2 linked regions of the Stegostoma tigrinum genome follow. The protein of the gene in region 1 interacts with the protein of each later gene in a pairwise test. Links are inferred from orthologs where the notes say so. Each region holds a gene or a part of one and is shown on either strand. Other genes may lie near its edges.

Evidence for each region.
Region 2: the proteins of poli (region 1) and rev1 interact in a two-hybrid assay, tested with the Homo sapiens proteins (2 studies listed by BioGRID). The link is inferred for Stegostoma tigrinum from reciprocal best matches to the Homo sapiens genes POLI and REV1.

The regions. Positions count from the first base shown.
Region 1 is NC_081354.1:155,777,389-155,789,755, reverse strand, and holds the start of poli (DNA polymerase iota), read left to right. Parts: upstream 1-6,320; 5' UTR 6,321-6,405; coding exon 6,406-6,559; intron 6,560-12,367. UniProt on the Homo sapiens protein: Error-prone DNA polymerase specifically involved in DNA repair. Plays an important role in translesion synthesis, where the normal high-fidelity DNA polymerases cannot proceed and DNA synthesis stalls. Favors Hoogsteen base-pairing in the active site.
Region 2 is NC_081359.1:59,637,169-59,649,517, forward strand, and holds the start of rev1 (DNA repair protein REV1), read right to left. Parts: upstream 4,954-12,349; 5' UTR 4,766-4,953; intron 1-4,765. UniProt on the Homo sapiens protein: Deoxycytidyl transferase involved in DNA repair. Transfers a dCMP residue from dCTP to the 3'-end of a DNA primer in a template-dependent reaction.

The sequences.
Region 1 (12,367 bases):
TAAATATTGTAATTCTACTGGCTTCCACCACTTCCTCTGGCCATTCATTCCATACATGCACCACTTTGTGTGAAAAAGTTGCCCCTTAGCTCCCTTTTAAATCTTTTCCCTCTCACCTTAAACCTATGCCCTTTAGTTTTGAACTCACCCACCCTTGGGAAAAGACTTTGTCTATTTATCCTATCCATGCCCCTCATGATTTTATAAACTTCTATAGAGTCACCTCTCAGCCTCCAACACTCCAGGGAAAATAGCCCTGGCTTATTCAGCCTCTCCCGATAGCTCAAGCCCTCCTACCCTGGCAACAACCTTATAAATCTTTTCTGAGCCCTTTTAAGTTTCACAACATCTTTCCTACAGCAGGGAGACCAGAACTGTACAAAGTATTCCAACAGTGGCATAACCAATGTCCTGCACAGTTGCAACATGACCTTCCAACTCCTATACAATATACTGACCAATAAAGACTTGCAGACTAAATGCCTTCTTTACTATCCCATCTCTGATTCCACATTCGATGAACTATGAACCTGCACTCCCAGCTCTCTTTGTTTAGCAACAGTCCCAGGACCTCATCATTAACTGTACAAGTCCTGCCCTGATTTGCCTTTCCAAAATGCAGCACCTCACATTTATCTAAATTAAACTCCATCTGCCACTCTTCATCCCGTTTGCCCAGATGATCAAGATCCCATTGTAGTCTGAGGTAAACTTCTTTGCTGTCCACTACACCTCCAATTTCAGTGTCGTCTGCAAACGTACCTCTCGTGTTCACATCCAGCTCATTTATATCAATGACAAACCGCAGTGGATCCAGCACTGATCCTTGTGGTATACCACTGGTCACAGCCCTCCAGTCTGAAAAGCAACCTTCACCACTACTCTCCGTCTCCTACCTTTGAGCCAGTTCTGTAATGAAATGGCTAGTTCTTCCTGTATTGCAAGTGATCTAATCTTGTTAACCAATCTATCATAAGGAACCTTGTTGAACATCTTATTGAAATCCATTATAGATCACATCCTTTACTCTGCCCTCATCAATCCTCTGTTACTCCTTCAAATCATTAGTGAGACATGATTTCCCAGGCACAAGGCTATGTTGACTATCTATAATCAGTTCTTGCCTTTCCAAATACATGTAAATCCTGTCCTTGAGGATTACCTCCAACAATTTGCCCACCACCAATGTCAGGCTTACCAGTCCATTGCTCCCTAGCTTTTCCTCACCACCTTTCTTAAATGGTGGTACCACCTTAGCCAACCTCTAGTCTTTCAGCATCTCACCTGTGGCTATCGATGATACAAATGTCTCAGCCCAGCAATCACTTCTCTAACACCCCACAGAGTTATACGTTACACCTAATCAGGTCCTGGGGATTCAGCCACCTTCATGTGTTTTAAGATATCCAGCACTTCCTCCTCTATAATATGGACACTTATCAAGACATTCAGATTTTTTTTCCCACGTTCTATACCTTACATTTCCTTCTCCACAGTAAACACTGATCATAGAGCTATACAGCATCGAAACAGACCCTTCGGTCCAATTCATCGAAACCGACCAGATATCCTAAATTGATCTAGTCATGTTTGTCAGCATTTGGCCTATATCCCTCTAAATCCTTCCTATTCATTTGCCCAACCAGATACCTTTTAAATGTTGTAATTATACCAGCCTCCATCACTTCCTCCCTCTGCATGAAAAAGTTGCCCCTTAGGTCCCTTTTAAATCTTTCCTGTCCTATCCTAAACCTATGCCCTCTAGTTTCAAACCCCCCCACCTCGGGGAAAAGACCTTGGCTACTCACCTTCTCCATGCCCCTTGTAGAGGTTTTATAAACCTCTACAAGGTCACCTCTTGGCCTCTGACGCTGTAGGGAATAATAGCCCCAGTCTATTCATCCTCTCCCTATAGTTCAAACCCTTCGAACCTGGTAATATCCTTGTAAATCTTTAAATGTTGTTAATTTAAAATCTGAAATAGATGCATTTTTGTTAAGTAAAGGTACTGAGGGATATGAGCCAAGGGCTGTTATATGGAACCCAAAACAGAAATTGCCAGAAAAACTCAGCGGCGAAATCAGAGTTAACACTTCAGGTGGAGAAAGCCTTTCTCAAAACTGACGAGCGCAGATATATGGGAAAACTGTGGATCAGCCACCGCCTCTCATGGTCAGTGAAACGAGTTGTGCAGAAGGATTTTAATTTACATTCATTTAATTTTAATTTAATTTGATTTGATTTCATGGAAAGATGGAAGAGGCTGGAGAGGCTGAATGGCCTGACTCCTGTTCCTGAGTATGGAGGCCAGGCCCCCAGAGACAGGGCCTACCCTCCCTGACGACCTCTTCAACTAGCCCCCACCTGAGGACCTTGCCCTCTTCCCTTCCCAATTGTGCCCCCACCGTCACACCTTTGACCCCGCCCTTTTCCCTCAGTGACGCCTCTGGCCACGCCCATTCTGATTCCCCCTCCCCCTCTCGGCCCCACCGGCATCGTAGTGGCTGCCGCAGGGTCCTCTTTTCACCCCTCCCTTCAGGAGAACACAATCCTCCCACCCCGGAGCGGGATAAGATAAATGCTCCTCACAACCATTCCTGAACCCTCCGCCAAACCGCTCCAGAAATAGAGCGAGCGACAACCGGTGGATCCCTGCCGCAGAACATTTGTGAAACTGCAAATTAGTGCTTATTCTTTATCACGAGCTTCCGAAGAGACTTGAAAAGGTTTTTTGAACTGTGAATTAAAATGCTTCCGCGGAACCCGTTTCACGGGCTGGTGGCCGACCACAAGTTTCCCCAGATTTAATCAGTACACCTTTTCACATAGTGGGGACGTGAATCTTTGACATAATTCACATCCTGTTGATGGACAATTGTCTTCCCATTGTTTCCACACCGCCCTTTCTACTTGAAAAGACGATGTGCAGCGGTTATTTAAGTCCCAAGACAAAGGAAGAAAAGTCCTCAAATTCAGTGAAAGCCTTTTTTAAAAAATTGCTTTCACATCTAATGATTTTGAATGATTGGCTCTTAAGGTGATTGATTCCTTATTCATTCGACAGTTTGCAACCACGAGCCATCACCAATAAAATGTCAAGTCCATTCCCCTCACTCATTGCCGCGACACCACATTCTGTGCAATTTTAGAATTGGGGAAAACGTTGTTAAGGGCAGTAAGACTGTTAGAAGTGTAATCAATTTGTCATCTGACCTCAACATAATCTGAACTGTCCTAAACCGTTTTTTTTAAAGCAGCCTGATCTGAAACGTTTTGGACAAACTGACCCGTTTCATTCCCGGAAAATCGTCAGTAGAACAAGTTATCCTCTCCCCATTCTCGGGAGGGACGTAGTAGTTCCAGTCACTTTCAACGAGGAGCAGAAGAACAGAAAATGTTGGAAAAACACAGCTGTCTGGGAGCATCTATGGAAAGAGAAACAGACTTAACATTTTGAGTCCAATATGACTCTTCTTCAGACTAAAGAACAGTTGATCGTTCCTAACTATCCTTAAGAGTATGGTGATGAGTTGCCTTCTTTAATTGCTGTAGTTAAAATGACGTGGTGAGGTGCAAGTATATTCACAGTGCATGTTTGCACATTCAAGAAGTCTGTCACCACACAGCATCCAAGTCAGATTTGAACAAAATATCAGAGGTTGGGCATTGCCTATATAAACACAGTCCTTTATACATAGAGCTTTCCAAAGAAAAGGTGAGTCACCTTGATAAAAGAATGATGAGAATGTGATTATAGAACATAGAACATGAGAGCACCGTACAGGTCGGCCCTCGATGTTGCACCAACCTGTGAAACCAATCTGAAGCCCATCTAACCTATACTATTCCATTATCATCCATATGTTTATCCAATAACCATTTAAATGCCATTATACCATTAAAGTTGGCAAGTCTACTACTGTTGCAGGCAGACCATTCCTTACTACTCTCTGAGTAAAGAACCTACCTCTGACTTCTGTCCTATATCTATCACCCCTCAATTTAAAGCTATGTCCCCTTGTGCGAGCCATCACCATCCGAGGAAAAAGGTTCTCACTGTCCACCCTATCTAATCCTCTGATCATCTTATTTGTCTCTATTAAGTCACCCTCTTAACCTTCTACTCTCAAGTCCCTCAGCCTTTCTTCATATGATCTTCCCTCTATACCAGGCAACATCCTGGTAAATCTCCTCTGCACCCTCTCCAATGTTTCCACATCCTTCCTATAATGCGGTGACCAGAACAGTACGTAATACTCCAAGTGTGGCCGCATCGGAGTTTTGTACAGCTGCAACATGATCTCATGGCTCCGAAACTCAATCCCTCTATCAATAAAACCTAACACACTGTATGCCTTTTTAACAACCCTATCAACCTGGGTGGCAACCTGATTAGCACAGTCAGTTCCATAGAATGGCAAGAAATGAAATTTCCAGATTTGCTGTCAGTCCTAACCTGAAAGACATCAATCAGAAAGATGTCAAGTGGAGCCTGCAACATTTCCCAATAATGAAATGTAATTTATTAAAGATACTACCTCTCTGGCTTGTCTCACAATTTTGTATAAGAATCATTGGCAAGAGCAAGTATACCAAAATAGGTAACGAAATAAAATGGAATAGAAACCTAATTGAAACATTCCCTCAATAATTAAAATTTCAACTTTATTTTTTTAAGAACAGATATGATGCAATGTGTTTCAATAAAAAGAGCGGGAAAACTAAAATGGTGAAATAGACAGCACCTTCCAAACATGCACTTAGCTGAAAGCATGTCTGCATATAGCTAAGGAATTTTTGTCGAAAGGCCCGAAATGTTAACTCTGGTTCTCACTTCACAGATGCCAACTGACCCAAAGTGTATTTCGAGCATTTTCTGCTTTAGGTTACTAAGGAAGATCAAGGGTTGACAGGAGGTTTGACAGGGATACAAATTCAATGTGCAAGTCGTAACGCAGCGATAAATTTAAAATAACAATATAATACAAACATCCCGTGGTATCGTGAATTAAAGCACTGTTTAAAGACTGAACTGCAGAAAATAATTGCTGCTGTGGAAATAATTCTGCTTCAATGTCTGTTACTGCTGCACTTTACCACAGGGTTATCGCGTCTGTTCCGAGAACTGGATTATTTCCAGGAAACACCTCAATGTCACAGCTCAACCTCTTAGTCAAAGAGGTTAAGAAGTAAGCTGAAAAAGAAGCTCCACAGAAAGACTTTTACCTGTCCACTTATTAATATTTTAACCCATATTACCATTACAGCTATCTTCATTTAATGATGTCTATTGTGATCACAGTGTATCAAACGTAGTACCTCATTTGCCAGACGTAGAACACACTGGCAGCTACCACAGGCAGACGGTTAATTATAGTGTCTGTTATAAGTTCTGAAGAAGTCATAGTGGTCTCAAACATTGTATCAGAGATAATGGGAACTGCAGATGCTGGAGAATCCGAGATAACAAAGTATGGAGCTGGATGAACACAGCAGGCCAAGCAGCATCTCAGGAGCACAAAAGCTGACGTTTCGGGTAACTCTGTTTCTGTTTCCACAGATGCTGCCAGTCCTGAGTTTCTTCAGTATTCTCTCTGACAATAGAGATTGTAGGTCTGGGTTTGTGCCTTGGGAGTTAAAGATTTATAGAGAGAGAGCAGTGTTTTTACTTTTAAAAACCCTAAAATGTTTGGTATGTCTACAAACCCCTGAAACATTGACCTGGTGGTTTTGTGGTGAACCCTGACTTGCCAGGAATTGCTCCTTGATCTTGTTTCAGTTCTGCGTCATACCCATGGAAAGGCAAACCAGCAGACTGGCCATGTATCAATGCAAAGTGAAAGCCATGATGTGTCACGAAATGAGTTATTCTGGTGAACACAAATATTTTGGTTGCCAAAAAAGTTGAAGAATTTAAAATCTGTCCACTCTCCATTTTCAAATGTAGCTGCAGCCACTCAGGCCACAGTTTAAATGCTGCACAGAAACGTGTCCGCAGTTGGAAGCTGGAAATCTGAAATATATAAGAATAAATTCTGTAGAAGCTCAGCAGAATTAGAAGCATTTGCGGACAGCAGAACAGAGTGAGCGTTTCGAGCCCAGTGCGACCCCTGTTCGGAACCTACTGAGTTTGTCCAGATATTTTCAGTTGCTGTTCCTATTAAAATTCTCTCTCGATGACTAATCTAATTCCAATAACACTTCACTGAGTTTGAAGTAATGCATTTTCCGATAAAGTCTTCCTGCTTGTATCCATGCCAACATTATACTTTACTGTAAAGTGCGTCAAAGATTGCAGAGGTTTGGTGGCGGGGGGGGGGCATATTTTGGTTGTCCACCTCGTGGTTTGCCCGTTGATTTGTTTTGGAGTCGGTTTCCTGCGATGTCTCAGGAGTTTCATTAATTATGGAGTTCAGTGAATACGAGACAGCAGATGCCCCTCGCTACAGTTTGCAAGAGGAGGAGGAGGAAGAGGATGAACGAGAATGGTGTTGTACAGTTGACGACATTGACAGTAGCCCTGGGTCTCCTGCCTCTGCAGCAAGCGGCGAATTGACAGGTACGGGTGAAACTGAAAGCCAACATCCGTCTGACTGCCAAATTGAAGACTCATAATATAAGCCTATTTGAGTTATCATCTTTAGCCAATTGCAAACCATATAATGGCAGTTTTCAGGGCGGGTTAATGGCTTGAGTTCAGAAATTATATTGCTGATGATGAGATGGGCTGGAGGAAATACTTGTTGAAAACGATACTACCGGGTGGCCCAGAATCGACAACACACAACATACATCTGGAAAATGAATGGGCATCTGTCTTTGATTCATAAAAAGAAATTTTGATGTCTGATTTTGATCTGGTCCGAAATCGATCAAACAGCTCTTGCCATTGTTGTCCGGAAGAAAAGGAGTGATTTATTAACAAGTTGTGCATGGATGAAAGGACATTCCATCTAAGGAGCCAAAAAAAACCCTTTCAGATCAGACAGAGGTCCACCTGCACATCCTCCAATGTGGTCTACTGCATCCACTGCTCCCAATGTGGCCTCCGCTACATTGGTGTGACCAAGCTGAGGCTGGGAGACTGCTTTGTAGAGCACCTGCGCTCTGTTCTCGATAAATGGCAACAACCTTCTGGTTGCAGACCGTTTCAACTCCCCCCCCCCCGTGCGACACGTCCATCCTGGGCCTCCTCCAGTGTCACATTGACGCCACCCGGAAACTGGAGGAGCAGCACATCATATTCAGTCTTGGGAGCCTACAACCCAATGGTCTCAATGTGGACTTTACCTGTTTCAAAATCTACCCATCCTCGGCCTCATCCCATGATCAACCCTCCCTCTCATCCCCGCCTCCTTGACCTGACACAACCTGTCCATCTTCTTCCCCTCCTATCCGCCCCACCCACTTCACTGACCAATCCCCACCACTGCCGACCTGCACTCACCAATCACCATCCCACCTATCTCCCCCAGTCCTAGCCCTCCTTTCTATTTATTTCAGAGACCCCTCCCCCCTCTCATTTCTGTAGAAGGGTTCCAACCCCAAACGTCAAGTTTCCTGCTCCTCTGATTCTGCCTGGCCTGCTGCGTTCCTCCAACTCCAGCATCGGCAGTCCTTACTGTCTCTCAGGAATTGCTTCTCCCTGTTTTATAAGATGAAAAAGATTCATTTTCAGTTTATATGTGTGACCCCGCAATAAGGGATGTCATCAGGCAATTTGACCAAATGCAGTGTGTGACGAGTCTGACCTCTCCCTAGGGGGATACCTGCATGATCATACTTTATAGCAGGAGGTCACTAGGCAGTCATCAAGGATGTAGTACATGCCTGGATTGTGTGAGGGGTAAGAGATCATCTGTTATTCCTGGAGGAGATGGTTGTGTAATGGCATGTTGTTGGTTCCAGGAACCCACAGGCCCAGGTTAATTCTCTGGGAACAAGGGTTTAATCCTGTCTAATTAAGACCTACAGTGTAAATAGACAAGTATAGCTGGGGAGGTGATGGCCTAGTGGTATTATTGCTGGACTGTTAATCCAGAGACCCAGATAATGTTCTGTGGGCCCGGGTTCAAATCCCACCTTGGCAGACGGTTGAATTTGAATTCAATACACATCTGGAATTAAGAGTCTAATGATGACCATGAATCCATTGTCAATTGCCAGAAAAACCCACGTGGTTCACTAATGTTCTTTAGGGAAGGAAACTGCTGTCCTTACCTGGTCTGGTTTACATGTGACTCCAGACCCACAGCAATGTGGTTGACTCTTAACTGCCCTCTGGGCAATTAGGGATGGGCAATAAATACTGCCTAGCAGGAGACACCCTCATTCCATGCATGAATAAAGGATAAACAAAAGCCGATCAGTAATGGTGACCATGGCCTGTATATGACTCCAGGCCCACAACAATGTGGTTGACACTTAAGTGGCCCAGTAAACCACTCAGTTGAAGGGAGTTTAGGCCTGGGTTAAAAATGGTGCCCTGTAAATAAACAGACTGACTACTCAGCACTTTCACAGGTTCAGTAATGTGCTAATTATCAACTAAACCATCAAAGATGCCTTCCCTCTCTTTTTTAAAATCTGTGGAACAACTGACTTCTTTAAGGAGTACCATAGTTGCAGGCAAAACTATTTTTGAATTTTATTGTTGCAAAGTGCAAATGAAGGCTCATATCCCACAGGATACAGTTATGATAAGAAGAACTGACAAGCTAATTCAGGAAACTGTGGCTATTATGGTTGTGTGCTCTGTCACAATTCAAATTGAAAAATTGTTTTGATAATTTTTAGATCCATCTCTGGCAAGTGAGTAGTGAGCTTAATTTTGGGTTACAGTGGGATTAGTGTCTTCAGGTTGAAATGCAATATTTCGTAAATTTGGCTGTAAAATTTGATTGTGTGAATGCTGGATTTTCCAGATTACCATTGCAGCAATGGTGTTTGCTGATGTGTTAACACGTTTTAATTGCAAAGTGTTAATCTTACCAGCAGCACTTACTGATAGCTATCTATGTAGTTAGTAGTCTGTTGATTCCAGCAGACTGTTAATTCGTCTGGCAGGAGCTAACTTTGAGAGAGACTGAATTGTATTTCTTTCAACCTCCCATCAGATATGAAAAATGTTTTTGTTTCTTTTGTATGAGTTCGACTTTACATACAAACTGCACTAGCGAAATAAAGGATGGAAATTAGGAAAGCAGAGAGAGAATATAAAAAAAGAGGGCAGGTAAAATCAGGGAAAGTTCAAAGATATTTTATCTGTACGTTAAGAGCAAGTGGATAACTAAAGAAAATTGGAAAATTTTATCTTTTTCTCTTCCAATTTCCACCCTGTTCTCACCTTCACCTGATCTATCTCTGACTCTTCCCTTCCGTTCCTCGACATTTCCGTTTCCATTTCTGACGTTAAGCTGGCCACCAATGCCCCAGTACAAATCCAACGACTCCCAAAATTTCCTGTACTATACATCCTCCTACCCTGCTTCCGGTATTCCCTGTTCCAAGTTCCTCCATCTCTGTCACATCTGTTCCAATGATGTCAACTTCGACAAGGCGGCCTCCAAAATGTCCAACATCTTCCTAAACCGAGAATTTCCCATCATCGTGGTTGATAGCACCCTCAGCTGGGTCCAACCCATCTCTCGCACTTCACCCCTCAGCTCCCTCTCTTCCCACCCAGTCCAGTGGGAGGGTCACCCTTGGCTTCACCTACCATCAACCAGCATCCATTTCCAAAGGATCGTTAACCACCATTTCTACCACCTCCAGCGGGATGCCACCACTAGACAGCTATATATCCCTCCTCTCCCTAGTAAGCTGCAGGGACCTTTCCCTCCTCAATACCTTGGTCCATTTCTCCTCCATTCTGAACATCTCCCTTCTTTCCCATGGCACCATGTAATCGATGGTGCTGTCCCCTGCAATCACAGAAAACACTGGCCTGTTTACTTCCTCCCTCCTCACTTTCCAAGGCCCTAAACACGCCTTCCAGGTGAAATGTCGTCAACTGTATTCGCTGTGATCGACACTGGGGGGAACAAGCCTAATTTCTGACCACAAAATACAACCCTGAGTTTCTGGTTGCCTGTCAGTTCAACACACTATTGTGTTCCCTGGCCAATATCTCTGTCTCAGCCTTGCTGCAGTGCTCCAGTGTCTCATTTTCTGCTTGGGGACCCTGCAGCCTTTTAGGCTCGATATTGATTCCAACACTTTTAGGGCTTGAACACTTTTCCCCATTTCCGTACCCTTGTCATCACATGGACTGCTATCATGAACAACCCATTGTCAGTCACCAACAGTCCCCATTAGTGGCTATTCATTCTCCCAGACTGACATTTACCCACTCCTTTCTCTACCCAACTCTTCTCTCTCTCTCTCTCTCTCTCTCTCTCTCTCTGGGCTCCACCTCTACTCATCATTTACTGTCCCCTCCACCCCCACCCCGTGTTCAGCATATATACCAACCTTTTCCTCACTACAATTTTTGGACTGGAAAGTTTAGCTCTGCTTTCTTTCCACAGATGCTGCTAGATCTGCTGAGTTTTTTTCTGGCAATTTCTGTTTTTATTTGTAATGAAAGGAGGGACTGACGCTATGGGTTGAGATGTGCACTGTAATTTTTGCATGGATGCAAAAGATAAAGGCAGGGTTCTAAATGAGTATGTTGTTTCTATATTCGTAATGCAGACATTCTAGTTAAAGAGGAGGAGTGTAAAATCTTAGACACAATATGCGTAATACGAAAGGAAGTACTGGAGAGCATGACATCCTTAAAGTTGGTTAAATCACCAAGAAAGCAGAAAGGAAATAACAGATGCACTGCAGATCATTTTCCAGATAAAAATGAGACGCCTGAAGATTTAAAGTTTGCAAATGTTGGACCATTGTTTTTAAAAAAGGTGTCGGGTTAAGGCAAATGATATTGTCAGTCTGTCTGATTTTGGTGATAGGCAAATTATTAGAATCAATCCTGAGAGATGGACTGTCACTGAGAAAAGCACTGATTTATTAGGGATTGTCAGCATGGCTTGTTTAGGGGAAGATCATGCCTTTTTAACGTAATTGAATTTTTTGAGGAAGTAACAAGAGAGAAATAGTTGAGACATAGGTTATAGGAGCAGAAGGGTAATGTTGAAGGTGTACAGGACTTTGGTGAGGCCACAAGTGGGGCACTGTGTGTAGTTCTGCACACTGCACTCTAGGATTGGCATGATTGGTGTAGAGGGGATTCAGAGGCAATCCACCGGGATGCTGCCTGGGATAGAGCATCTTAGCTGTGAAGACAGGCTGATTAAGCTTGGATTGTTTTCTTTAGAACAGAGAAGTTTGACAGCCAGCCTGATAGAGGTGTACAAGGAGCATGGACAAAGTAGCTGTTTTCCCTTAGTTGAAGGGTCAATAACAAGGGGGCACATTGTTAAGTTGAAAGGCAGAAGGTTTAGGAAGGACTTAAGGAAAAGTATTTTTGAACTGGAGAGTGGTAGTGGTCTTAATGCACTTCCTCAGAGAGTAGCAGAGGTATTTAAAACAAACTTTTAAAAACTACTTGGATGAGTGCTTGAAGTGTCATAGCACTTCATAGCTATGGGCCTGGTGCTGAACAGTGAGGCTGCTGTAGATTCAGTGTACTTTTGACATTACAGACTGGATGGGCCAAAGAGCCTCTCCTTTGCTAAACAAGAAACCAAAGAACAGTGGATGCTGGAAATCAGAAGCAAAATCAGAACTTGCTGGAAAAACTCAGCAAGTCTTGCAGCATCTGCGGCATTAAGCAGAGTTGATGTTTCGGGTCCAGTGACTCTTCTGAACTGATTTTAGGGAGGTCAAGGGTTGGTATATACGCTGAAGAAGGGTGACCAGACCCAAAACATTAACTCTGTTTCTCTCCACAGATGCTGCCAGAACTGAGATAACAAGGTGTAGAGCTGGATGAACTCAGCAGGCCAAGCAGCATCAGAGGAGCAGGATGGCCGATGTTTTGGGCCTAGACCTTTCTTCAGAAATGGAGGAAGGGAAGGGGATTCTGAAATAAACAGAAGGAGAGGGGAAGGCAGATAGAAGATGGATAGAGGAGAAGATAGGTGGAGAGGAGACAGACAGGTCAAAGAGGCTGGGATAGAGCCAGTAAAGGTGAGTGTAGGTGGGGAGGTAGGGAGGGGGTAGGTCAGTCCAGGAAGGACGGACAGTCAAGGGGGTGGGATGAAGTTAGTGGGTAGGAGATGGGGATGGGTAGGAGGTAGGACAGTTAGGGAGGCGGGAACAAGCTGGGCTGGGTTTTGGGATGTGGTAGGGGGAGGGGAGATTTTGAAGTTTGTGAAGTCCACATTGATACCATTGGGCTGCAGGATTTCCAAGCAGA
Region 2 (12,349 bases), on another chromosome or scaffold:
GCATGTCTATAAAGGCTCAGGAAATGTTTGAAATACTCAGCATGTAAGGAAGCATGTGAAAAGATATAAACAGAATTAATATTTCAGGTTGGTACCCATTAATATGATCATAAGAAGGCATCTGAGGGATATCATAAATTTTAAGTATGCCTACAGACTGGGAATGAAGAGAGCAGGAGAACAAAAGGGTGGTTTTGAGGTACAGTGAAAGACAGGAAAAGATTAAACAGCAAAATAAATAATGATGCTGTTTATCTTGTACCATTATCCTTTTTTTCCATTTAATCTCTCTCCTCTTTCTACCACAGATGTTCCTTCCACCAGACATGCTGGATTTCTCCAGCATTTTGTTTTTATTCAACATGTGCTTGCACGGTATTCACATTCGGCTATTTTTCCCCTTCCATTTCTCTGCCTCTGAACTTGCTTAGAAACTGTTGCAGTTCTAACTTCTGCAATTCTGATGAAAGGCTTTATAGAGTCATTCAGCAGGGACCTAGACCCCTTTGGGCCAACTCATCTATGCTGACCAAGTTTCCCAAACCAAACTAGTCCCATTTGCCTGTGTTTGGCCCATATCCCTCTAAACCTTTCCTATTCATGTACCTGTCCAAATGTCTTTTAAATGTTGTAACTAGACCTGTATCTACCACTTCCTCTGGCAGTTCATTCCACATATGAACGATCTTACGTGTGAAAATCTTGCCCTTCAGGTTCCTTTTAAATCTTTCTCCTCTCACCTTAAAAACGTGGCCCCTAGTTTTGAACCTTCCCATTCTCGGAAATGGCTGCTCTTCACCTTATCTAAGCCCCTCATGATTTTATAAACCTCTGTAAGATCACCCCTCAACCTCCAATGCTCCTGTCCCAGCCTCTGCAGCCTCTCCCTATAAGTCAAATCCTCCAGTCCCAGCAACATCCTTGTAGATCTTTCTGAACCCTTGTAAATTTAATAATATCTTTCTTATAGGTGACCAAAACTATACACGGCACTGAAAAAGTAGCCTCACCAATGTACTGTACAACCTCAATGTGACATCCCATCTCCTATAAACAATGGTCGGAGCAATGAAGGCAAGAATGTTAAAACACCTTATAATCACCCTGTCTACCTGGAACACAACTTTCAAAAGAACTATGTAACTGAACCCTAGGTCTCTGTGCGATAACACTATCCAGGCCCTACAATTGACTGTATAAGTGCTGCCCTTGTTCAGGCTACCAAAATGCAATACTTCGCATTTATCCAAATTAAAATCCAACTGCCCCTCCTCAGTCTTTTGGCCTAATTGATCAAGATCTGATTGTAATCTTAGATAACATTCTTTACCGTTGACTATACCAACAATTTAGGTGTGACCCGCAAACTTACTAACCATGCTTCCCAAATTCTAATCCAAATCATTTAGGTAATTGATAAGGAACAGTGGATGCACAACACCACTGGTCACAGGCCTCCAGTCTGGGAAATAACCTTCCACACCACCTGCCGAGTCCTACTGTCAAGGCAAGTTTGTATCCAATTAGCAAGCTTCCCTGAATCCCACGTGATCTAACTTTACTAATGTGCTTTGACCTAAAACACCACAGATGCCATCTGACGTGCTGAGTATTTCCAACACTTGTGATGTTTTAATTGGGCATCATGGTACAATGTCTCTTCCTTTCAAACTTCGCAAAGCATATGGATTGTTTGTTTTTAAAGCTGTTGTATAATTCAAAGTTTTGACCATTCTGATAGGCTTCTGGCTGGTCCCTCTGTAAACAAAGGTCATCCAAAACTCTGCTGCATGTGACTTAACTTAAAACAGTTCTCATTCCCCTATCAGCTTTGTGGTTGCTGAACTACATTTATAGAACTTTGTTTTCTAATTCCGCTATGGCTTCATCCTGCCATATCTCTGCCATCGGCTTCAGAGCCACAACTTGTGTGCACTTTGCTGATTCCGGCCTCTTGTGTATTTCTAATCAAAAACGTCCCACAACTGGTGGTCATGCTATCAGTTGCCTAGGCCCCAACTTCCGGAATCCCTCTCCTCGCTGCCTCACTTTCCTCCAATAAGATATTCCTCAAAAAACCTACCGTTTTGAGCAAGCTCTTGATCGACTGATCCAATATCTTCCTATGCGGCTCGGTATTATACTTTATTTTTGAAAACTCCTATCAAGCGCCTTGGGACATTTCACTGTGTTAATGATGGAGCAAAACATTTTACAGTAAGGAATAAAACAATCAACAACGTTCACACTAGTTCTCCGAAAGAACAATGCACCATATTTCAACTCCATCTTTCCCTGTATATGAAGACGATAACATGACAGCTTCAGAAAACATGCAGTTCAGTTCAGCTCAATACATACATACCAAACTAAGTCACTAGCGTAAACTTAATCTGCTGAAATGGGTTTGCAGACAGAAATAAGACAATTTCTTCCCCCAGTGTCTCAGACTCAAGTATTACGACAGGACCTAACATAAGAACCAAATGGACAGTACATCATCTTAAACTATCTTGTGCACAGCTACACAACAAAGGGGACCGTGATATGCTCTATGAATTGTCACCACTTCATTACCTGACAGAAATAGCAGACAATCAATGAATGTGACTGCACCTCAGATTACTCCAGTAGTAATTACGCATTTTGTTAGGTGCCTACATTTTATTTAATATACATTCACTTATCCGTAAAACAATAATTGAAAAATGAACACTGACCAACCAAACTCTTACTAGACCAATTCAATCCCAATGGGACAGCACAGGTTGCCTTAGATGAAAGGTGTCTAGACATGTATAATTTCACCTTAGAGACAAGAGAGAAATTAAGTGAATTCTGAAATAAGATACCAGTGCCAGACAAAGAAACATTCAAAGTAAAGGTAAACAGTTACAGCTCCATCCCTTGAGGAAAGAAAGTAGTGTTTATGTCATGATTATATTCAGAAGGAGAAAAACAGAAGAGAAAGAAGAATTGGAGACGTCTGAAGAATCGTTACTTTTCTCTTTTCCCCTGCCTAAGGCACCATGTGAATAACCATGTTTCAATTCTATGTTTGGCTTGCTTTCAAATGGCAGAGGTCCTGTGAAATTAGCATGACTGAAAGTGAGACTCTAAAATGGAGAGATTCAACATGGGAAAAAAAATGGAATTAGTACTTCTTTCAATATGGTAAACTAAGCATGAACCATAGCAACCTGCAAAAGGTTGTAAGAGCCATGCAGCATCTTGTATTTGCTTTGCCATTCAATAAGATTGAGGCTGATCTAACAGCGGCCATCACCACTTTGCTGCCATACAACTAAACAAGCTATCTATCTCATCTTTGATTACATTCATTGAATCCACCTTCACTTCCATCGGCAATAGAGATTTCTAAATATTCATGACATTCAGAGGAAAATCCTCTTCTTCTTAGTCTTATATCTGCAACCCCTCATTCAGGAAAAACATCCCCAAATCTAAATTTACTATGAGGTATCACACCTTTTTAGCATATTGCCGAAAGGCAGTATATGAGTACGTCTCCTTACAAACTTGATCAAGAAATCCCCAAAGGGCTCTTGATGGCAACATGATTAAGAATCAAAATAAAAACAAAGAACTGTGGATAGTGGAAACCTGAAACATAAACAGAAAAGACTGCAGAAAGTCAGCAGGTCTGGCAGCATCTATAAAGAGAAAAGCAGAGTTAATGTTTCAAACCCAATAACCTTTTGTTAGAATCATTTGGGATGTGGTGCTCCAAATCAAAATAGCATCTTAAAATGAATGGACCATTGCTCCCCAGGGAGAACCATCCCACACCACCAGAATACACAAGGAATTTCTCTGTTGGTGTTTCACTTCAATTGCTTGCACAATCTAAAAAGAGCACTACACTCCCACACAGGTCAGCCACACATACTGCAAAGCACATTTAACACAAACTTGGTTGCTGATTCTGGTTTTATAGCAATAGAGACATTTCCAGGTGCAAAATTAAATTCTTCACGCATATATTTAAGGAAAATCTAACAAATTATTCATAAGCCGTCGCCAAACAAGGTATGTCTCAACAGATGTTGACAAGGGTTTGGGGGGTGTGGCTAAGAGGGATAAGACACAGCATTTCCTCGAGGAACAGACATTTGTGGACAGATATAAACAGGAACAGAAGTTTACGAGAATAGGAAGAACAGAGCTAAAGTCTGACCAAAATCCCCATTTGTTCCTTACGTGGAAATGAAATCACGACACAATCCGTGCAACATTATTATTTTGCCGCGAATTATACTCAATTTTGGACAGGAGGCTGCTATGTGAAAATTGTTGAGAAAAATCATACAAATTAGGGGGAGAGCCTTCTAAAAGGTACGCGAGGGGGTGGCGGCGGGGAGGGATGTTATACGAGCCTCCTCCGAGATTGGGAGGGAAATCATCTGGATTATGGGGAAAACCCCCTCCTGTTGATTGGAAAGGGGAAGCCTCCTCCTGGATGATGGGGACGCCTCCTGCGGTCTCCCTTCCAGCCCCCGCCCCCGTCTGGAGATGATCCTCTGCTCCGGAGCAAAGGGCTCCCAGGGCACTAGGGTCTGTCCTCATGCAGGACTTTGGTTCTAAGCTCCGTCCTGACCCCTGGGGAAAGGCCGACATTGTTTGTAACTAAGGCTGGGTCTGCAGCTCTTTAGCACCGACACCCGGAGCCCCGGGAGGAGGGGGAACCGGGCCCCGCGCTCTCTCCGTGCCGGTGCCGCCAGTCACGTAACCGGGAACGACTCACCTCTCACGGCCTAATACTCATCCCGACCTCAGTTACCGTCCGTCTCCCGGCTTCTGTTACCACCGTTTGTCTATCGGGCTGCTGGCCTCTGCCCCTCACTCCGGTCTCCGACTCCGTGATCTCTCCATTCCCGCTCCACCCCGCCCCGTCCGCCCGCTCCGGCACCGCCTGCAACTACCCTGTCACAGCGACACCGAGGTCTGGAGGCTGGTACTACACCCATTCACAGCGACTCCGAGGGCTGGAGGCTGGTACTACATCTACACACAGCGACACCGAGGTCTGGAGGCTGGTTCTACACCCACTCACAGCGACACTGTGGGCTGGAGGCTGGTAGTACACCTACACACAGCGACACTGCGGGCTGGAGGCTGTTACCACACTTAGTCACTGCAACAGCGACACCGAGGAGTGGAGGCTAATACTACACTCACTCACAGCGACACCGAAGGCAGGAGGCTAGGGTACTACACTCAATTACAGCGACACTGGGGGCCGGAAACTGATACTACACATAGTTACAGCGACACCCGGGCCACGAGAGGCTGTAACAACAAAATTCCAAAGCGACACCTGGTGGGGAGATGGCTGTAAAAGGAGCGCAGTGGAAGCTTGAAGTACAGTCACAACGACAGTGTTGCTGTCCTCTTACCAGTCACAGTGACACCCGCAGTTGAAAATGTGTAACTACACTGTGTTATAATGACACCAAGCGGTAAGGACCTGTAACTACAGCCATTATCACCATGACACCGTGGTGCGCCACAGTGGCAGCTGATGGAATCGTACAGCTTACACCTGGCTCACACATTTATTCTGTTTCTGAAACGTGTCGGGAACCACAAAAGGAAACCTTCCACCATATCGGAGATAGCAAGAACAGCAGATGCTAGAGTCAGAGTCCACACAGTGTGGAGCTGGAGGAACACAGCCGGACAGGCAGCATGAGAGGAGGAGAGTCGACGTTTTGGGTCGAGACCCTCGGACCTTTTGTCAGGTGAGGAAGGAGCAGCGCTTTGAAAGTTTGTGATTTCACATAAACCCGTTGGAGTATAACCTGGTTTTGTGTGACTTCTGACTTACTGTTGGTGAAACAGCGAAAGGGTGAAGTTTTTAAATGGCTATTCTGAATAGGCAGAGAGCCCGATTGCTTCACCGCCGCCTGTAAAATTCCGGAAGGTTCAGAGATGGAAGGATACGCTCGGAAAGGTCACCTGCTGGCTTTCCTTCAACTGTGCCCACAGTGATTTTAACATGCTAGAACAAAAACTTTGTCATAAGATTGGGGAAGTGGGGATGTCATTAAACGGATAATCCAGAACCCCAGGCGAATGCTCGGAGAATATGGTTTGAACAAAAACCTGGAATTAAAAGATAGCCTAATGGGTTTGTCAAAGACATATTGTAATAATCTGCCCAATCTAGTTGAATTTTCTGAGTGACAAAAAATTGATGAAGGGCTTTCAATAGGTATTGTGTATATATACATAAAGCAATTGTTCAATAAAATTGAAGCCAGTTGAATAAGATGATCAGTGTTAAATTAGATGAAGATTAGCTTAAAGACAGGAAATAGCAAGTTGCGGTTAATAGTTGTTTTTCAGACGAGAAGATGGTAGATATGGTGTTTCCCAAGGTTGAGTTCTAGGAATACTTTTTATCTCTATACACTTGCTTTATCTTTCAGCTTTCCCCATGTTCTATGGAATTGCTGCAATGTTGGGTGACCACCCTCATTCCAATTAAGGGATAACAAGGTGTAGAGCTGGATGAACACGGCAGGCCAAGCAGCATCAGAGGAGCAGGAAAGCTGACGTTTCAGTCTGGACCCTTCAGAAATTCTGGAGGGGAAGGTGATTCTGAAATAAATAGAGAGAAGGGGGGAGGCAGATGAAAGTTGGATAAATGAACAGATAGGTGGAGAGGAGACGGACAGGTCAAGGACTTGGGCATGGAGCCAGTGTAGGTGAGGAGTTAGGGTGGGGGTTGGTCACTCCAGGGAAGATGGCAGGTCAAGGAGGCAGGGATGAGGCTGGTGGGTAGGAGGTGGGGGTGGGAGGAGTGGATAGGTCAGAGAAAGGAGGACAGATTAGGGAGGTGGGGATGAGCTGGGCTGGTTTTGGGATGCAGTCAGGGATGGGAGATTTTGAAGCTTGTGAAGTCCACATTGATATCATTGAGCTGCAGGGTTCCCAAGCGGAATATAGGGTGCTGTTCCTGCAGGTGTTAGTGAAGTGGATAAACTGTTCAAGCTCCTCATGAGAGCACATTTGACATCGCTGTGACACTGGAGGAGGCCCAGAATTCATATGTTGTCCAAGGAGTGGGAGGGAGTGTTGAAGTGGCTCTTGAGTGGGAGGTGCAATTGTTTGTCGTGAACCGAGCCTAGGTGTCCCACAAAGTGGTCTCCAAGCCTCCGCTTGGTTTCCCCGATGTAGGGGAGGCCACATTTGGAACAGCGGATATAGAATACCACATTAGCAGATGTGCAGGTAAACATCTGCTTAATGTAGGTTTTCTGGGGGCCTGGGATGGGGGTGAGGGGGGGAGGTCTAGGGGCAGGTGTAGTATTTCCTGTGGTTGCAGGGAAAAGTGCCGGGGGTGGTGGGGCTGGTGGGGAGTGTGGAGTGGACAAGGAAGTCATGGAGAAAGCAGTCCCTCCAGAAGGCAGATAAGGGTAGGGAGGGAAAAATGTCTTTGGTAGTGGTAGTGGAGTCAGATTGCAGGTAGCAGAAGTGCCAGAGAGTGATGTGTTGGATCCGGAGGTTGATGGTGTGATACGTGAGGACAAGGGGGATTCTGTGTTTGTTGTTATTGCGGGGAGTGGGTGTGAGGTATGAGTTGTGGGAAATGTGAGAGACACGACCGAGGGCTTTTTCAACCATTGTGGAAGGGAATTTGTGGTCCTTGAAAAATGAGGACATCTGGGATGTCTGGGAATGGAATACCTCATCTTGGGAGCAGATATGGCGGAGGTGAAGGAATTGGGAATAGGGGATGGCATTTTTGCAGGAAGGTCGGTGGGAAGAGGTAGCTGTGGGAGTCAGTAGGCTTGAAATGGATATCGGTTTCCAGGTGGTTGCCAGAGATGAAAATAGAGGTGTCCAGGAAGGAGAGAGAGGTATCGGAGATGGTCCAGGTGAACCTAAGGTTGGGGTGGAAGGTGTTAATGAAGTGGATGAACTGTTCAAGCTTCTTGTGGGAGCGTGAGGCGGTGCTGATGCAGTCGTTTTAACCTCATTTCAATTAACAACTTTTTAGATTTAGTGGGTGGTTTTACAGTTGAATGCCTTCCTGCTTCTAATCCTCCCCCTTTGTCCAGGGGACTGACATTGATATGTGTAGACCCGTCGACCTGCACTAGTGGTATCTTCTAAGGCTATTGTTGTGACCAAGGTTGGAAAATTACACTGAGATAATGGGAACTGCAGATGCTGCTGTATCCGAGATAACAAAGTGTGAAGCTGGATGAAGACAGCAGGCCAAGCAGCATCTTAGGAGCACAATAGCTGACATTTTGGGCCTAGACCCTTCATCAGTGGGTCTGTTTTAGGTTCAGTACATAAAGACCCATAAACCAGGTTTATTAAGTTAACAAAATTATTGATCATTATAACAACAAAACTATTTGATAAAGATGCACTAACAAGTTTGATATGTGGAAATAGTAAGAATTTACACTTTTAACTAACCCCAGTACACATGCACATGTACAAATTTGAGAAAACATTAACAAACTTTCTCTGCAGAAATTAATATTATAAAAACACTTTGGCCAAAATAGTTGTAAATTCTCATAGAATGAAAGTTTAAGATATGAAATATTCCAGATTGCTTTTAGTCAGGTAACCTTTAACATGTAAAATGGACCAATAGGCTGAGACAGTTTTCAACAGACATATGCAGTTGCTCCTCTAGGATATCTATAGAAACAGTTAATTCAGGGTGTCAATAAACAATAGGTGCAGGAGTAGGCCACTCGGCCCTTCGAGCCAGCACCACTATTCATTATGATCATGGCTGATCATCCACAATCAGTATCCTGTTCCTGCCTTATCCCCATAACCCTTGATTCCACTATCTTTAAGAGCTCTATCCATCTACTTCTTGAAAGTATCCAGAGAGCTGGCCTCTACTGCCTTCTGGGGCAGAGCATTCCATATATCCACCACTCTCTGGGTGAAGAAGCGGAAACATGCTTCCTGCCTCCAGAGTGTCCAATCCCTTAATAATCTTATACATCGCAATCAGATACCCTCTCATCCTTCTAAACTCAAGTGTATACAAGCCCAGTCGCTCCAATCTTTCAACACATGATAGTCCCGCCATTCTGGGAATTGACCTCATGAACCTACGCTGCATTCCCTCAATAGCAAGGATGTCCTTCCTCAAATTTGGAGAACAAAACTGCACACAATACTCCAAGTGCGGTCTCACCAGGGCCCTGTACAGCTGCAGAAGGACCATTTTGCTCCTATACTCAATTCCTCTTGTTATGAAGGCCAGCATGCCATTAGCTTTCTTCACTGCTTGCTGTACCTGCATGCTTGCTTTTATTGACTGATGTACAAGAACACCCAGATCTCGTTGTACTTCCCCTTTACCCAACTTGACTCCATTTAGATAGTAATCTGCCTTCCTGTTCTTGCCACCAAAGTGGATAACCACACATTTATCCACATTAAACTGCTTCTGCCATGCATCTGTCCACTCACCTAGTCTGTCCAAGTCACCCCGTATTCTCATAACATCCTCCTCACATTTCACACTGCCACCCAGCTTTGTGTCATCAGCAAATTTGCTAATATTACTTTTAATGCCTGCGTCTATATCATTAATGTATATTGTAAACAGCTGTGGTCCCAGCACCGAACCTTGTGGTACCCCACTGGTCACCGCGTGCCATTCCGAAAGGGACCTGTTTATCACTACTCTTTGCTCCCTATCAGCCAGCCAATTTTTAATCCAAATGAGTATTTTGCCCCCAATACCATGTGCTCTAATTTTGCTCACCAATCTCCAATGTGGGACTTTATTAAAGGCTTTCTGAAAGTCCAGGTACACTACATCCACTGGTTCTCCCTTGTCCATCTTCATGATACATACTCAAAAAATTCCAGAAGATTAGTCAAGCATGATTTCCCCTTTGTAAATCCATGCTGACTCTGACCTATCCTGTTACTGCTATCCAAATGAGTCGTAATTTCATCTTTTATAATTGACTCCAACATCTTTCCCACCACTGACATCAGACTAACCGGCCTATAATTTCCTGTTTTCTCTCTCCCTCCTTTCTTGAAAAGTGGGACAACATTAGCCACCCTCCAATCCGCAGGAACTGATCCTGAATCTATAGAACATTGGAAAATGATTACCAATGCGTCCACGATTTGTAGAGCCACCTCCTTAAGTACACTGGAATGCAGATCATCAGGTCCTGGGGACTTATCAGCCTTCGGACCTAACAGTCTATCCAACACCATTTCCTGCCTAATATAAATACCCTTCAGTTCATCCATTACCCTAGGTTTTTCAGCCACTATTACATCTGGGAGATTGCTTGTGTCTTCCCTAGTGAAGATAGATCCAAAGTACCTACTCAACTCTTCTGCCATTTCCTTGTTCCCCATAACAAATTCACCCGTTTCTGACTTCAAGGGCCCAATTTTAGTCTTAACCATTTTTTTTCATTTCACATACCTAAAAAAGCTTTTACTATCTTCCTTTATATTTTTGGCCAGTTTTCCTTCATAGCTCATTTTTTCTCTGTGAATTGCCTTTTTAGTTATCCGCTGTTGCTCCTTAAAAGCTTCCCAGACCTCCGGCTTCCCACTCATCTTTGCTATGTTATACTTCTCTTTTATCTTTATACAGTCCTTAACTTCCCTCATCAGCCACAGCCGCCCCTGCCTCCCCTTAGGATCTTTCTTCCTCTTTGGAATGAACTGATCCTGCACCTTCTGCGTTATATCCAGAAATACCTGCCATTGTTGTTCCACTGCCATCCCTGATAGGGTATTGTCCCACTGAACTTTGGCCAGCTCCTCCCTCATAGCTCCATAGTTCCCTTTATTCAACTGCAATACTGACACTTCCGATTCTCCCTTCTCCCTTTCAAACTGCAGATTAAAACTTATCATATTATGGTCACTACCTCCTAATGGCTCCTTTACTTTGAGGTCCCTGATAAAATCCGGTTCGTTGCACAACACCAGATCCATAATTGCCTCCTCCCTGGTAGGCTCCAGTACAAGCTGTTCTAAGAATCTGTCTCGGAGGCACTCCACAAACTCCCTTTCTTGGGGTCCAGTACCACCTGATTCTCCCAGTCTACCCGCATGTTGAAATCTCCCATAACAACTGTAGTGATACCTTTGTGACAGGCCAATTTCAACTTGCACCCTACATCCTGACTACTGTTTGGGGGCCTGTAGATAACTCCCATTAGAGTCTTTCTACCCTTAGAATTTCTCAGCTCTATCCATACTGACTCTACGTCTCCTGATTCTATGCCCCCCCCCCCCTCGCAAGGGACTGAATATCATTCCTCACCAACTGGGCCACCCCACCGCCTCTGCCCATCAGTCTGTCCTTTCGATAGCACGTATAGCCTTGAATATTCATTTCCCAGGCCCTATCCACTTGGAGCCATGTCTCAGTTATCCTCACAACATCATACTTGCCAATTTCCAAATGAGTCTCAAGGTCATCCACCTTATTTCTTATGCTCTGTGCATTCATATATAATATTTTTAATTTGTTACTCCCCTCACCCTTCCTATCAATCCCTATTTCACTTGGCCACACTGTACGATCCCTTCTTGAGTTTTCTGCTCCGTTGATTCTGTTGTCTTTCTTAACTTCTCTTATTCTCACTTTCCCTTTAACTTCATTCTTAAATTTCCAGTTTGCCCCCCCCCCCCCCCCACTACTTAGTTTTAACACACCTGCATTGCAGTGGCAAACCTGCCTGCCAGAATGCTGGTCTCCCACCTATTAAGATGCAAACCGTCCCTCTTATACAATTTATCCTTACCCCAAAACATACCCCACTGATCCAAGAATTTAAATCCTTGCTTCTGGCACCTGTTCATCAGCCACACGTTCAAGTCCAATATCTCCCTGTTCCTGCCCCCTCCAGCCCGAGGAACTGGAAGCAAACTGGAGATAACCACCCTAGAAGTCCTGCTTTTCAGCCGCCTTCTGAGTTCTCTGAAGTCCCACTGTAGAATGCCCCTCTTTTTCGTCCCAACATCATTCGTGTCGACATGCACCACCACCTCTGGCTCGCCACCTTCGCCCTTGAGGATTCCCTGCATTCTGTCAGTGACGTCCTGGATCCTGGCGCCAGGAAAGCAACACGCCATCCTCAAATCCTACCTGTTGCCGCAGAAACCCCTTTCAGTCCCTCTCACTGTGGAGTCCCCTATTACCACGGCTCTGCATAATGTCTGACTCCTCGACTCTGCCTCTACGCCAGTGTTTGACTCGCAGACCTGTCCACCTCTCGGACTGGCAGTGTTGTCTGTCTCGACAGTTTCCAAGAGAGTCAGCCTGTTTACGATAGGTACTTGCCCTGGCGTC